3 linked regions of the Arabidopsis thaliana genome follow. The protein of the gene in region 1 interacts with the protein of each later gene in a pairwise test. Each region holds a gene or a part of one and is shown on either strand. Other genes may lie near its edges.

Region 1 (5,664 bases):
GCACTAGCTTCATCGAACCCAAACCCGTTCGGGGTGCAACAAGATCCTTTCGCAATGTCAAACAACATGGCTCCACCAACCAATGTTCAAATGGCAATGCAACAACAACAAATGATGATGATGAATAACCAAAGTCCATATAATAACAACTATTCACCATATCATCATCATCAATTCTCACCAAATCCTTCAACTTCTTCATCTCCTAACCCTTTTGGTGACCCTTTCCTTGCTCTCCCAGCTCCTCCTTCATCTACTACACAGCAGCAATACAGTCCTAATCATATGCTTCTCTAGAATGGTAATCATAATGACTTGTTTTTTCTTCTTCTTCTACTTAATCTCGATTTGATTCAGGTTATTATTATTCTTTCATTCTTTTCTAGTATAAGACTCTTCTACACTTGTCAGGATTTTTTCTTCTCTTTTGTTTTCCCTTAATTTTAGTACTTATTTAAGCTTAATATTCCTTAATCCTTTGTATTTTTCCTCTATCAACGGTAAGAATTAACGGTCAGCGCAAAAAGTGGAGGGAAATTTATAATTTGTGTACTTTGTTTTATCTCTCGTCACTAAAAACCGTTAAAAACCCGTTAGGGCTAACAAAGTCCAAAGAAACTCAGGTCCCTTGTGCTAGAAGAAACTGCTAAAAGAAAAACAAAACTCTTCAAAATTTCTCATATATACATTACACTCTCTCAGTCTCTCTCACACACATACACAGAGAAAAATGAATTTTCATAATACACAATGAAATTACGTAAGCCGAGTCTGCAATGAACTTTACATTTCCGACAATAACATATTTCCAAGTCTACGAAGTTCTCTAAGAGCTTCTTCAACTGTTAGTTTTCCGTTTTCAGTCATATTCTCTGGTGAACTTAGCTCCAACACCGACTCTATCACCTGATACCGAAACATTCAAAAAAATGAGTCAAGTCATGCTTAATTTGGGTTCACAACAATCAAATCCATCATCAGATAACATTCGTGAACTTTTTACCTTAATATGTTCAAGCATGGACCGTCCTGTATTCTTTAATGAATCGCCAGGACCTGAAGTTGAATCTGAATCGGTTTTTCCGTCTTCAGAATCTACCTGTTTAGCTTCTTTAGTCTCAGAGGTCTCTTCGCCAGACAAGTTTCTACCTAGCCTCCATAGCCTCTGGAATTTACCCGAAAGAATCTTCCTCTCTCTGAAAATATTCATCCCTGATTTCGCCTCTGGCTCGTTCTCCGGGATAGAAAGAGGCAGATCCATGTGGTTCTCACTTTTGCCTTTATCAGAACTGTTATCCTCATACTCTGCACTGGGAGTATCAGATACTGTAGATGAGCGTTCGATATCGGTGTCTGGGTTTGGGAACTCGGGAGGCTCAATCTCTTTTTCCCCTAGTTGTCGGGATAAATCATCGAGCAAACTACGTCTAATATGAGGCTTGTTCCCGCTTCTCTTTGCTTCAGCGGGAGACGGATCGGATTCTGTCCTTGAAAGCCTTAGCTTCACTCTTTCCGACCAACTCTTCTTCCCTGCTTTTGGTCTCTGCAACGCTTTTTTCCTCCGTTCTTCTTCTTCTGCGCTGTTTAAAACTCTCCACTTCTCTTCCCAGTAGCTCTCAGGTTCTATTCCCACAGGAGAAGAACCAAGTGAGATCGAATCAACTGATAAGCTGTGACCTCTCATCGGTTTTCTCGGTCCTTTCGGAATCAAATCACGACGAGCATTGATTTCCAAAGCAAGACTCTGCAATGTCTTAGCCTTTTCGATAACTTTACTCAGATCAATGTCCTCCGGAAAATTGAGCAACTTCTTAAGAGAAGAAGTCGCGTTTTCAGTTGCTAGCAGCGATGATCTAAGATAAAGTATCATCGAAACCGCCATTCCCGCGACCAGAGCTCCCCGAGGAGAGCTAAGGATCCTGAATTCACACCCTAGATCAGCCTCAACGCCTCTCTCTACTTCAGAATTGTCAGCGGAAAATATCTCATCCCACACGATCAATAGATTACTCAGTGGAAATTCTCGCCCAAACAGAACCCGTAACCAACGAAGCGCAAAGTACTGCGGTTCAACACCGAGTTCAACGAGATGGCTGTGAAGAGAAGCATCAACTAAAGAAAGTAGATGATACAATGCCCCAGAAGCTTCAATTACAGGAGGCAGTCCCGTGATGGAATCGTTGGGAGCAGAATAGATGAAGAAATTGGCTACAGAAACCGAACCAAGGGAGGATCCACCGTACATAAGAGCGTCAAACATAGTGTAAGCGTCGTGTTCCATAAATTTATCAGAGAGGACGATTCCTAATTCGCCTTCTCCTCCATACGCATCACTCAACAACACAGCGGTCTGCGTCTCGGTATCGAGTTCATCGAAACTCTTTGGTTTTTTCTTCTTTGTGCTTCCAGAGGGTGGACCATCTTCTTCTTCATCTTCCATGGAATCATCCAAAACCTTTTTTATATCGAAATCATAAGCTCCAGAATCGCGTTCTTGAAACGCTAATTCGTCAAACAAATCAACAAACTGATCTTCATAGTTTGACCTCACTTCCGTAAGATATTGCACATCAACTTGAAGAACATAAAGCAAAGGAGCCAATAGTTCATGCATCCCTAAAACCAAAAAACACCATTAAAAATCACAAACCATATTCGCAATGTAATACACTCGAAAAATCAAGTATCTACTAACCTTGTCTATAACCAATCTCAGGATGCTTCAAACACCACAAAAGAAGTATCCTTCTAAGCATCCCTTGACATCCAGAGGATTGAAAGTAACTTCCATGTTCTGGATACAACCGAGAAAGATCTTGATCAAGCGTTTTCTCGAGCTCTGCATTACGAAAGAATCTCCCCCAAGTACTATCTACACAATCCAGAAAGCTTTACATTATCATTACATTGGAGAGAAATTTGCAAATTGAATGTATCTGAGAAATGAGATAGTAAAGTTTTGATTTTTACCAGGATTTTGTGATAAAGGATTATCAATAGTAAGATCTGGAGAATTTGTTCCTTTCTTAGGCAAATGTGGATCAATTAAGAGTCTTCTTCTCAAAGCAGCATACCTAATAAACAACAACATCTAAAAATCAAAACTTTACAAATTCTTTTGTTTCTGAGTCTGAATCTGGAGCTACCAAATCGAGAAATGCAAACCCTAAAAGCAAAAACTTCAATGTAGGGGAAAGTCAAAACCTTCTTCTGGAATCAGCTGTTACTCTGCGAAGCTCATCAATGGTGGAGGAAGGAGAAGACGGTAAGATTCCGAGGTTGATTCGCCATCGGACGCCACGAAGCTTCTCGAACCGATGATCTTGAGGCGGCGAGGCATCATTAGAAGTGCAAGGAGGGTCTTGTGTTGTTGATATCTGGGTTTCTTCATGAATCGCCATGTTTTACACAATTCATCAAATCTTCGATTTCGTGCCAAATCGATTCTTGTTTCGAAAAAACAATTTGGGTTTACTTTTTGTTTATGAGAAAACATAAAATTATGCTAAAAACTTTTGTCACTTTTTCTTTCGACAAAAATCGAATCAAAAATTGTATTCATTTTTTTTTTCATGAGGCTGAGAATCTGTGATTGGCTTGGAGACAAGAATGGTTCATGACTTCATGTTTTCCAAAACGACGTAGTTTCATTCTCAAGCTTCATCTTTTTTCATCAAAAAATAAGATAGAACAGTGAAAATTATTACTGTTATTTTTTCTGTGCCACTATTGTTATTGTTGAATTTTGTTTTTCTTCAATAGATTCTTCTAAAATGAAGAGAATCCGAGGATCATTTTTGAACAAGAAGACAAAAATCCAAAAGAATGAATCACTCAAAGTAAAGTATCAAACTCGACGTGAGAGAAATGTGTAAGTCTATTTTTTCTCCTCTCATTATGCCTCTTTTTTAAAAGAGGGTCAGTCACTCTTCATACTTTACATAAACATATATATATGAGGCATGATTTTTGTTACTATAACGCGTTACAAATTATTGACAACATCCACTTGTATGTTATTCTTCTATAAATATTATAATTTTATGCATCAAAAACTCATCAAATTGCCAAATGTTTGATAAAACATACTTTATCAACTCGGTAAAAATATTATAGTCCACAGACTAGCTCACCGTTCAATGGACAAAAATTAGTAGAATGTAAATCCTGTTTTTAATGGATCTAATATCTTAAACGCTTTCTATAACGCGACGGATAGGTTTCGATATGCAGATTTTAGTATCTTTTAACATGTCTTATAAAGAAATAAACATTTGAAACTGGCATTTTGACCAAGCAAAGAGTAGAAAAGATCTTGATGCAAAGTCTTCAATCTTGATCAATATGTCAGCATGATTTTTTTTTTTTGGGTCTAATGTTAAATATGTCAGCATGATTATTGGCACTAGTATGACAAGAATTAGAAGGAAAAAATACTGCAAAATATAAGTAAGGAAAAAGAGAAAAAAAAGTTTGATCAGTAATTTTCAATAACTAGGGATATTTTCATAAAATATGGATAGATGCATATATGAGGAACTTTTACAGGCAATAGACAGAAATTCTTTTGATATCTGTAGTGAGTAGTGACCATATCAAATTATCAATAAATGGGATATTCCCATAAAATACGGATAGATACAGAAATGATACGAGTCAATAATATGTCTACCGTTTTCCTGACCATCACACATTTTCTTAGATTTGTTAGTCAAACAGTCTAATCTCACAAAATTACTACCAACCTCGTCAGAAATATTTTATTCTTATTTATAGGAATTTTAGGTACAAAATAAATGATAATAAATGTAAAAGGGCACTTTATAATTTGGTTCAGAGTTAAAAAATTCATATGCAAATTTTGTATCGTGTGTAAAATTTAGCTTAGAAAATAATATGACTGATTTGACCGTGCCGCCAAACAATAAGAGAGAGTGATTTTCTCAGAAATAATTGAATCAAGCAAAGACTTTACCAGTAAGGTCCATTGAAATGAATTGGGGCATGCTTACGAAACCTAACTTATAATAGAAAGAAATAAACGCTCCAATTTGGACCAGAAAAGCCGACTTAAGATGGCGGGTCAACTCTACTACCTCTCCTCGTTCCATTTATCTATCTTTAGATATTTTGACATTTTGTATTCGTCTTGCTCTTGGCTTTTTATTTTATCGATATGTATTCTACAATTATCTGAATATTCAACGTTTGATTATTCGCTAAAACTTAAATAATTAATTTTATATTCGATTTATTCCATAAGAAATTGATTACATAATGTGACTGTTACTGTTAATGTTTCTCTCTTAATATCATCAAAAGTATGTAATTGATGAGAAATGAAAACAAAATGGTAGAAAATGAGAAGCTCGAAGAAACAGAAATGTGGATGAAAAATTGTATTGCTTTTACAGTTTACTCTTTGCTAAAGTAGTATAGCTGAAACATTTATTTTGTATTACTTTATTTGGCTAAAAATAAAATAAATTTGGACATAAATTATTTCAATTATTTTAGATTACGCTAACAAAACAATCTAGTCACACTAACTCACGATCAAATCCAAAAGCATTAGCACCATTTCTTATTTTCTTAAAAAATATATATTTTATCTAATCATATTTACCTATTTTGGTTTTGGACGTCAAAAGTATTCCGAAAACA
Region 2 (4,688 bases), on another chromosome or scaffold:
GGCTGCTGACAAGGAAGAAGCGAGAACTGGGTTAGTACGATCTGAAAATGACTTGTTCTTGAATGGAGCTCAACCTTCCTTGATGACAGGAGCCAGTGAAGAATGTGTATTCCATCCAAGTGAACACTACCCAACATGGACTGTGGAGCCACCATCAGAAACTCTCAAGCAAATCATGCAAATTTGTACCGGTTGGCAATCTTTGTCCCGTCCTTCTGATCATGGAGTTCCTAAGTAATAGTTGCGATTCAAATGTTTTCTTGCATATCATATTTCCTTCTTTTTCTAGTTATTGAAGGAGTGAATAATGCTTTTGTTCTTCAGCACATTATGTTTACAGTATGCTGTGTGTGATTTTTTATGCCTTTTTCTTCTTTGTGATTTGTAATTGGCTTCTTGAATGTATATCACTGAATCGAATTCTTTATCAGATTTATATCAGCTTCGGTTATTAGAGACTACTCGTTTTATTCTTAAAGCGTATCGCAAGTTTGTTTTTTCTTAGATAATGAAGAACTCGTCATAAATTATGTAAAGAAAATCTCATTTTTTTTTTTTTGTTCTCATTTTCTGTTGCACACACAATGCAAACACACGTATCTACATTTTTTTCACTTCACATCATGTAAAAAATGGAATATTTAGCCAAAACTATGGATCAAGTCTCTCAGCCTGAAACACACCCAAGTGATTTCCAGGATGAAGAGGAAGAAGATGAAGAAAAAGAAGAGGATGCATGAATTGGTGTACCGTGGAAAAGATCAGAGATGTAATTCTCCAAATTATCTGGCTTGAATCTCACCAAGATCTCAATGTTTCTCTCCTGGCCGAGCATTGGTAAGTACTTCCTGTAAAACTCTCTGTATTCTGGTACAAGTTTCTTTGCTATTGAAACCTTTAGTTCGTCCCTAAGTTTCGCATTTGGTACAACTCGTGATGATTGTTTCATATATGCTTCCTCAAATGCCGTGTGAAATCTTCTGAAATATATTTTAGCTTCCTCTGGTGATAGGTCTGTGGGTTCTTCTGGTAAAGACATGAAAACATTGGACCATGCTGCTATCTCATAATTCCCAGCATAAGCGCAGAGTTTATCTTCGTGCTTATTGAGCCAATCATCTCCAAGGAGATTCCTTAGGGGAGTTGAACCAACCGTTTCAATGATGATCTGAAGGTTGTTTGCAAGGAAAAGGTAAGACAAAGAAACATCCTTGTAATGCTCTGCTTTGGTGTCTAGTTTGCATAGCAAAACCAGGATTAGCCAAGCAAAATGGACAGAGAGTGCGTGATTGTGTTGTTCATCTTCCGAAATTGGAGCTCTGACATAGGATTCCAGCAGGCGAGTGTTTCTCGGGAGTGGATGGTCTGCTAGGATTTCCGACAAGACTCCGCTGTACTTAGAAAGGGAAGAGATGAAGTTCATTGTTGATCGTGTCAGTTTATGAATCCCTCCTCCAGGTGTTAGAGCTTTCGTCGTATCTTTCTGAATGATTGATTCAAAATCCGTGAGAGCACTGTGGATTGAGACCTTTAGTTTTTGCAGCGATGTGAGCGCCTGAGATTTCACACCAGCTACTGCATCAAAGTGGAATATCATCTCTATGTCTTGCCAGAGATCAGAGATTGCAGCCTGCAGATCCATTAGCGGGAAGATCCTCTCGTGCGATTTCTTCTCCTTGGCAACAAATTCAGGGAACTTGAAAAGGTTAGTGGCTGCTTCGTTTGCAATCTCGTAGAAGCATGACTCCCTTGTTGAATTGGAAGCAGAAAAGACATGATCACAAAGAAGTTTCTCTCCACGGAAGAGCGTGGCAATGCCAATCTTTGCAGCTTTTATCCAGTTCTTGATCATATGCTCGAGCGTGACCCAGTCCGTTCTGTGAAATCTGGAGCCTTTGTAGATTTCAATCCCGAGCAAGCTCAGCCCTTCATCTACAATAGATTTTCTGACCCGCTTATAAATCTTTACGCACTCCTTACCATATCCGCAACTTATCATACTCTCTGCTATCGCCTTAAGGTCAGACATCACCATAGCTGAAGCTTTCTCAACCTGAGTGATCGATTCGCCAGCTTTCCTCATCTCATTGTCACTTTCATCGTCGTCGTCAGATCCCATAACATCTTCAAATTCAGAATTGCTGGAGATTGAGGATTGACCGGAAACTGATTCAGGATCAAGCTTGTCTCTGTTTGAAGATAATATCTGGAAGAACTCTTTTTCGAGCCTTGCCATGGCGATCTGCATCAGGGTCTGAGCTAGAGCAAGCTTTGGAGATTGAGAGTCTTGAGAGACAAGAAAGTGCATCGCTCTGCGCAAATCACGGACACATCTGATGAACTCTTTAGCCTCCTTCCTGCTATGGTTGAACAGAGAGACAATCTTGGTGAAGGAAGGCGTGTTCGGGTCCCATTTTCTGATGACGGAGTCCGCTGTCTCCACGGTTTCCTCCATCATAGCCTGAGTAAAGTTCTGGTTTAGAGGAGAAGCCGGGAAAGAAGTGAATGAAGAAGGCGAAGAAGGATGATATTTAGGAGATGACGAAGAGAAGAAAGAAAATTTCGCCATTTTCGCCATTGAAGAAGAAGAAGCTCTCTATTCTCTTCTTTCTGAATTGAAAGCGAAGCCTTTTAAAATGGTGTTACTTGGCTTTTACTCTTTCTATTTTAATTAGAAAGATGGTTTTTAACAATTATATAGAGAGCGAGATTGGTCTTGACTTTGAAAATGAAATCGATGACGATGTGCTTACCTGTGATTATAGACCCAGACCACAAAGAACCATTGACTTCGATGTATAATATAAGCCTTATATACTTAAAAGATAACTAGAGTACAAATTTTATATACATATGGGCGACAAAGTTTTTGCTATCCACGTCTAGAACTAGAATTATATGACTATTTCATTCTGTCAACTTATAATTTTATATAACAGTTAAATTCATCAATTTCATTTCATTTGACTTTTTATTGCATCATTCGCATTATTGATCACTAATTATACTTCTTGTTCGAATTTCGTATTGGAAGTTTTTTGACCAAAGAAAAAAAAGAAGACTAATAGAGTTTCACTAGAAAAGTCCGAAATTTATATATTTAGCGTTCTCTTATATAAACGCGTTTCTACATTTCAATTCTTGTGTGTCTGTCAACGTCTGCATTTCAGTTAATAAGTTATAGTTATCACAGTAATTAACGTTTTGAATCAATACTATGATACAATAAGTTGTTAACGCTGTCCTTGCAAACTAACAGCTATACGTTTATTGTAATAGTTAAGAGAAAAGTGTTACAAAATATTTAAGTTGATTTTACAGCCTAATGTTATATTAGCACTGTTGATGTGTCATAATCTGATAGTATATGTTTGTGCTTATAGAGGATAGAAAAACAAATCACAAATTATGTATTATATAAAACTAATATTCTTTCGTCTGACCAAAAAGATGATCATAAAAGATACGTACTATACTTCATGATCTTGTCTAGAAGAAAATAAAACCTATATTCCAAGTTTTCCCATACATTAGATATCATATACACAGACACAAGACATTCGCATGTTATGTATGTATGGTTTTGCAAGAAAAAGTCAAATATACGCACTCATAAATCATGATATAAAGATATACGAACCGGAGGTATTGGCAATTTCCAGGCGTTACAGATTCTTAAAAGACCAAAATGGAGATTCGCTTACCAAAGTCAACTACATTTACATATACATTTCAACTAATTTGGCTTCAACGTCGTATATACGTGAGTTGTCTAAATCATTATAAGAGCATATAAGCTAGTCAACGTTTTGTTTCGACGACTCTCTTTCTTTAAACAATGGCTAGTGTTACTTCACGTATTCGGTTACATTGCTAACGAACCTTAAAGAATTTAGTTATTGTAGCTGTCTTTTTTCCTTAAAAGTGGAATCTTCTTCAATCAACAAAGCAATGACTATTGATCAATGCCATCATTTGATTACAACTCACAGTTTTTGTTTTGACAATTATCTTGTTATATACATATGAGAGAAAATGAACTATAGTAGTGTTTAGTTCGTTTCAGATTGAGATTGATTATGTTTATGTTATTTGTTTTTTTCCCAAACTTTACTAAGGAAGATTGTAAGCTTGGGGGAGCCCTAACGAATCAGAAATGAATGATATCGTAAGTGCGAAAACAATTTGAAGACTGGACTGTGAAGCGGTCAACTCTCAGGCGTAGATCATCGGAGTAAAGACAATGCCAATGCAAAAGTCAAAAGTTTATAAAGTATCTTTGATAACCCCAAAAATGATAAGAACATAATAATCCAAGTGGGTATTTTTGACTTATTATTATATAGATACATTAAACTCTAATGTAGCTGGTTCTACTTCTAGTCTTCCTTCTACAATGTGTATTATCGTGTGACACGAACCAACATTTTGGATGAATAATATAAACATTTCTTTTGCTCGGAATGCTTACATGTTTTAGAATATGAACCTCTCCCTCTCCGGTATAATGATATGTTTGAAGAATTAAATCTTTTAGTTTAAATATATCAGAGGAGATCAAAGATCTTTGACAGCAAAACAGAGGTATACATACAACAAGAGAATATTAAACTTTGATGTCTTACTTTCTACAATGTTTTCTTCTTCTCTCATTCTGTATTATCAATGCAGAGAATAAGTTATTTCGT
Region 3 (3,805 bases), about 20 Mb from region 1:
ATAAAAAGCTCTCCCAATCTAGAAACTTTGATCCTCAAGGTTTGTATGTATAATATGATCTCTTTTTCTCTTTCTCAATTATAAATTTAATCTCGGAGTTTCACTTACTGTGTGTTCTTTTCTTTTCTATCCGTTGTTTCAGGGTTTTCAGTGTGTAAGTACTTGTGGGTATAGCATTGATGGAAATACGTTGAAGGTGTTGGAGTTATACGGGTGTAGAGGGAATCTTAGAGAAGTCGAACAAGTGAGGCTGTTCTGTCGGAAAGTGAATTTCTTCAAGTAATGAAAGTGGAAATTGGTACTAAGGTTGATGTTGACAAGAAATTGCAACTCACCAAAGACCTCCTTCCTTATCCTAACGTTCCTCCAAATGCCAAATCCACTTCTTGTAATCTTTTAAATCCAATTTTGTTTTTGACTGCTCAATCAATCAAGATTCAGTTTGTTTTAGATACAAAGACAACATCTCCCTTGATAGAGCATATTGATAGCTTTACTTTTAATACGATTTTGCCAAGTCCAAACATAAAATTCTGGTTTAGAGTATCAACATTGCAATGATACTAGTACTAAAGAACATTGCAATTTATTCTCAAAGTTCTAATGGCATTGGCCGTGATAACAATTCCATTCACCTTCCAAAAAATCTCTTTCCTTACAACTTGAATTTTTTTTACCAACAAGTAATAATCCCTAAAGAAGTTAATACGGAGGGGGGATAATCAAAACGGCATAATATGTGTCGTTTTGGTTTCGTATACCGAAAGGCAAGATCTTGAGTTCACCTTGAACACCTTAAGAAGATCCGTTAGCATATGCCTAACGGTAAGCGAGCAATTACTCTGTAAAAGTAACAGTATCTTCGTAACGCCGTTAATTCTAATAACGGCATCTTGCGCCTTCTTTTCCTTGAAAAGATAACAGACGCTCCACAAAACCGTAACGGCGTGTTCAGTCGCCGCCGTCGACACTTTCATCAGCTTATTCACCACCGTCTCCACGCACACACCATCACAAATCTCCGATCGACCTTCTTTACAAGACGAAATAGCTTCGAGAAGCTTTAAGCATTTTTCCGTCACTGAAACGCTCGTAGTTGGATCTGTTAACAAACTCGTGAGTTTCGTGACTAGCTTTTCTCTGATTAATGCGAGTTTCACGCGTTTTGAAGACGCAATCGCGATTAATAAAGATAAATTCGCTTCGATTAAGCTTGAGTCGGAATCTGAGCTTATCAATTTAATAATCTCGGTGACCAATCCTTCTCCCTTGGCGATTATAAGCTTTGACTCTGCGTCGACGGCGATAAACTCAAGCACGGCGGAGCAATCGATCTTCAATTTTGGATTCCCGCGTTTAATCAATAGGAAGAAGGAAGTCAAGCAATCACCACCGTTCGTTAAGATCAGATTCGATAACCGTCTCCGATCGAAGATTTTCCGACGAATCATGCTCAGAATCTTCACCGCTTCTCCAACGAGTAGCAATTGAGAATCAGAGAAGTTTCTGGAATCGCTAATGAGATCCACAAGCATCGCTACGAAATCATCTTTCCCGGCGAGAAACTCTCTGTTCTCATCAGATTCTCTCGCGAACCGGAGAATCTTCGAACGAGCATCATTCTCGATCCGGAATCTCTCAATCGCAGCGTTAATTTCGTCTCGCGTCGGAGTATCGGATTCCGGAGACTCAGAATCGGCTCGACGGTTGATGGAGTCGGACCAGTGATCAATGAGACGGTGAAGAGTTAGGTTAGGTACGAATTCTTTGTTCTGAAGAATCTGCATCGTCGCGGGACAAGTATTGTTACCATCATCGAGCCAACGTTGGATGCTAACTCGGTCGTATGTAACGCCGGTGGAGAGACTCACCGGAGATTTCATCACATCAAGTGAAATTGGACATTTGAAGAAACAAGGGACGGTGGTGATGTAAAGATCATCGCTCCTCATGTTTTTGCTCTTTCTTCTTCGGCGAAAACGTTTCAAAGAGAGAATAAATAACAAAATCACTGAGAGAGAAAGAGACGTGACTCGTGTGGTTAGGTTTTAAGAAGATGATGAGTCATGAGAGAGAGTTCAAATATGCTGACGTCAAAATTCACTTTTTGAACAACCTCTTGATACTTTTCCATTTAAAAAAAAATATAATTACGTTATTTTATTTTATGAATCTTAATTTTTTTAAATTATGCTAAGGTTTTAAATAATATGGAGAGACAGTTTTTTGTTAAATTGAGATTATTATTTACAGTAGTTAATAAAATTTCCCTAATTTTGCATGTTTATTTTCAACTTTGTATAACATTGGGAGAAAAAACTTTTTTGACATATTTATTTATTATATGCCAAACCCATGAAATGAATACTTTTCCGTATTTCGTTCTCTCACTTTTGGTCAAATAGTTGAGTCTGGGTATCTTTCGGCGCGCGTAGACTAAGATTTGTATTCGAGTTCATCTCAACCGTTAACAGTACCACCAACGGTACAGATTTCGCCTAAGGATCCACTTACATTTTAAAATTGCACCGTTCGAGGAAACTCGGGAACCTTTTGATTTCTTTTAAAGAGCCTATAAACAATTTGTCCAGTTCTCGTAAATAAAATACTCGTATTGTCCCTTGAAGAATTGTTGTAGTCATTAATATTTGTAAAACAAATGTGATAAAAGGAAGTGAACTTATTGACCAGACAGATTCGACGGCCTTTTGCAACTTTTGTTGCTTCCTTTTCCTTTTCAAAGTCCACTTTAAATAAAGTCTTTATCGATTACCTTAGCGACAAAGTGTCAATGACATCAAGAGTAAACTACTACTCGGTTATGTGAATGTGACAGTCCAGGCTCGTGTATGGGCCTTGTATGTAACCCAAACCATCGTTCGTAGGCTTAGTCATTTATTATTATTTTGCGAATCAGAGGCCCATTAAATTTACTCCTCTTTTTCTATGTCAATACATAGAAAACAAATAAAGAAAGAAGGCGAGTTATCGTTATGCTATAACCTCATCGCACTTTTTATGTTTTTTTGGTATGAGCCTCATCGCATTTGTTATCTTTATGATCGTGTTTATATTATATATGTAAATGTAGTGCGATTGCAATGAAATAACGTTTCTTTTAGTGAAGAATTGCGCTTAAGTTTTTGGCGGAGGGTAATTGTATTGCAAAAGTCACTAAACTTTAGAGAGAAGCATTTAACCTTTCGGATTACAAAAAAATACTGTGACAATAAAAAAAAAAAATCAATGAGAATGATGCATTGGAGAAAACGTGTATGAACAGATGGTCGGTAAAAAAAAAAAAAAAAACGTGTATGAACAGATGGTCGGTAATTAGCACGAAAATCGCTTTGGTTGTAATTTGTAATAGTACTATTTTATACTCGTATATTTTCAACAGTGTTGTTACAGTAACGCTAAGGAACTAGCCTGGACAAGCTTTTACATCTCATTTACTGTTGTTGTTCTGACACAACTACTGTTGTTGCCTTTTATGTTCGGTTTCCTTCGTTCTTCTAAGTTCTGACATCTTGTTCGTACAAAGGGGTCTCATCGTCATTATTCTCTGCCTTCAATATATATGCCGCAAAAGAGGATGCAACTCAAAAGTGTCCACTAAAGCTACGGTCTTTAAGTTGATGATTACGTTAAGGAAGATGTCCAAGAAATAAAAAGTTGATGTCTTGATGATGACTAAAATTTAGAATTGGTTGATCCGGTCTTGCGGTGCAGTAGTTGTATTGCCTGGTCGTTAAGTCACGTTACGTTTTAGCTCGAACTTGTTTTACGTAAAGGATAGATCTAG

Evidence for each region.
Region 2: the proteins of AT5G57210 (region 1) and EXO70H1 interact in a two-hybrid assay, tested with the Arabidopsis thaliana proteins (one large-scale study listed by BioGRID).
Region 3: the proteins of AT5G57210 (region 1) and AT5G09800 interact in a two-hybrid assay, tested with the Arabidopsis thaliana proteins (one large-scale study listed by BioGRID).

The regions. Positions count from the first base shown.
Region 1 is NC_003076.8:23,180,305-23,185,968, forward strand, and holds AT5G57210 (Ypt/Rab-GAP domain of gyp1p superfamily protein), read right to left. Parts: upstream 3,750-5,664; 5' UTR 3,402-3,749; coding exon 3,205-3,401; intron 3,075-3,204; coding exon 2,971-3,074; intron 2,890-2,970; exon of another isoform or gene 2,873-2,889; coding exon 2,696-2,872; intron 2,617-2,695; coding exon 1,004-2,616; intron 907-1,003; coding exon 784-906; 3' UTR 529-783; downstream 1-528. Other genes in the region: AT5G57200 (ENTH/ANTH/VHS superfamily protein), read left to right, coding at 1-297.
Region 2 is NC_003074.8:20,439,988-20,444,675, forward strand, and holds EXO70H1 (exocyst subunit exo70 family protein H1), read right to left. Parts: upstream 2,664-4,688; 5' UTR 2,579-2,663; coding exon 668-2,578; 3' UTR 504-667; downstream 1-503. Other genes in the region: AT3G55140 (Pectin lyase-like superfamily protein), read left to right, coding at 2-238.
Region 3 is NC_003076.8:3,042,401-3,046,205, forward strand, and holds AT5G09800 (ARM repeat superfamily protein), read right to left. Parts: upstream 2,147-3,805; 5' UTR 1,953-2,146; coding exon 723-1,952; 3' UTR 504-722; downstream 1-503. UniProt on the Arabidopsis thaliana protein: Functions as an E3 ubiquitin ligase.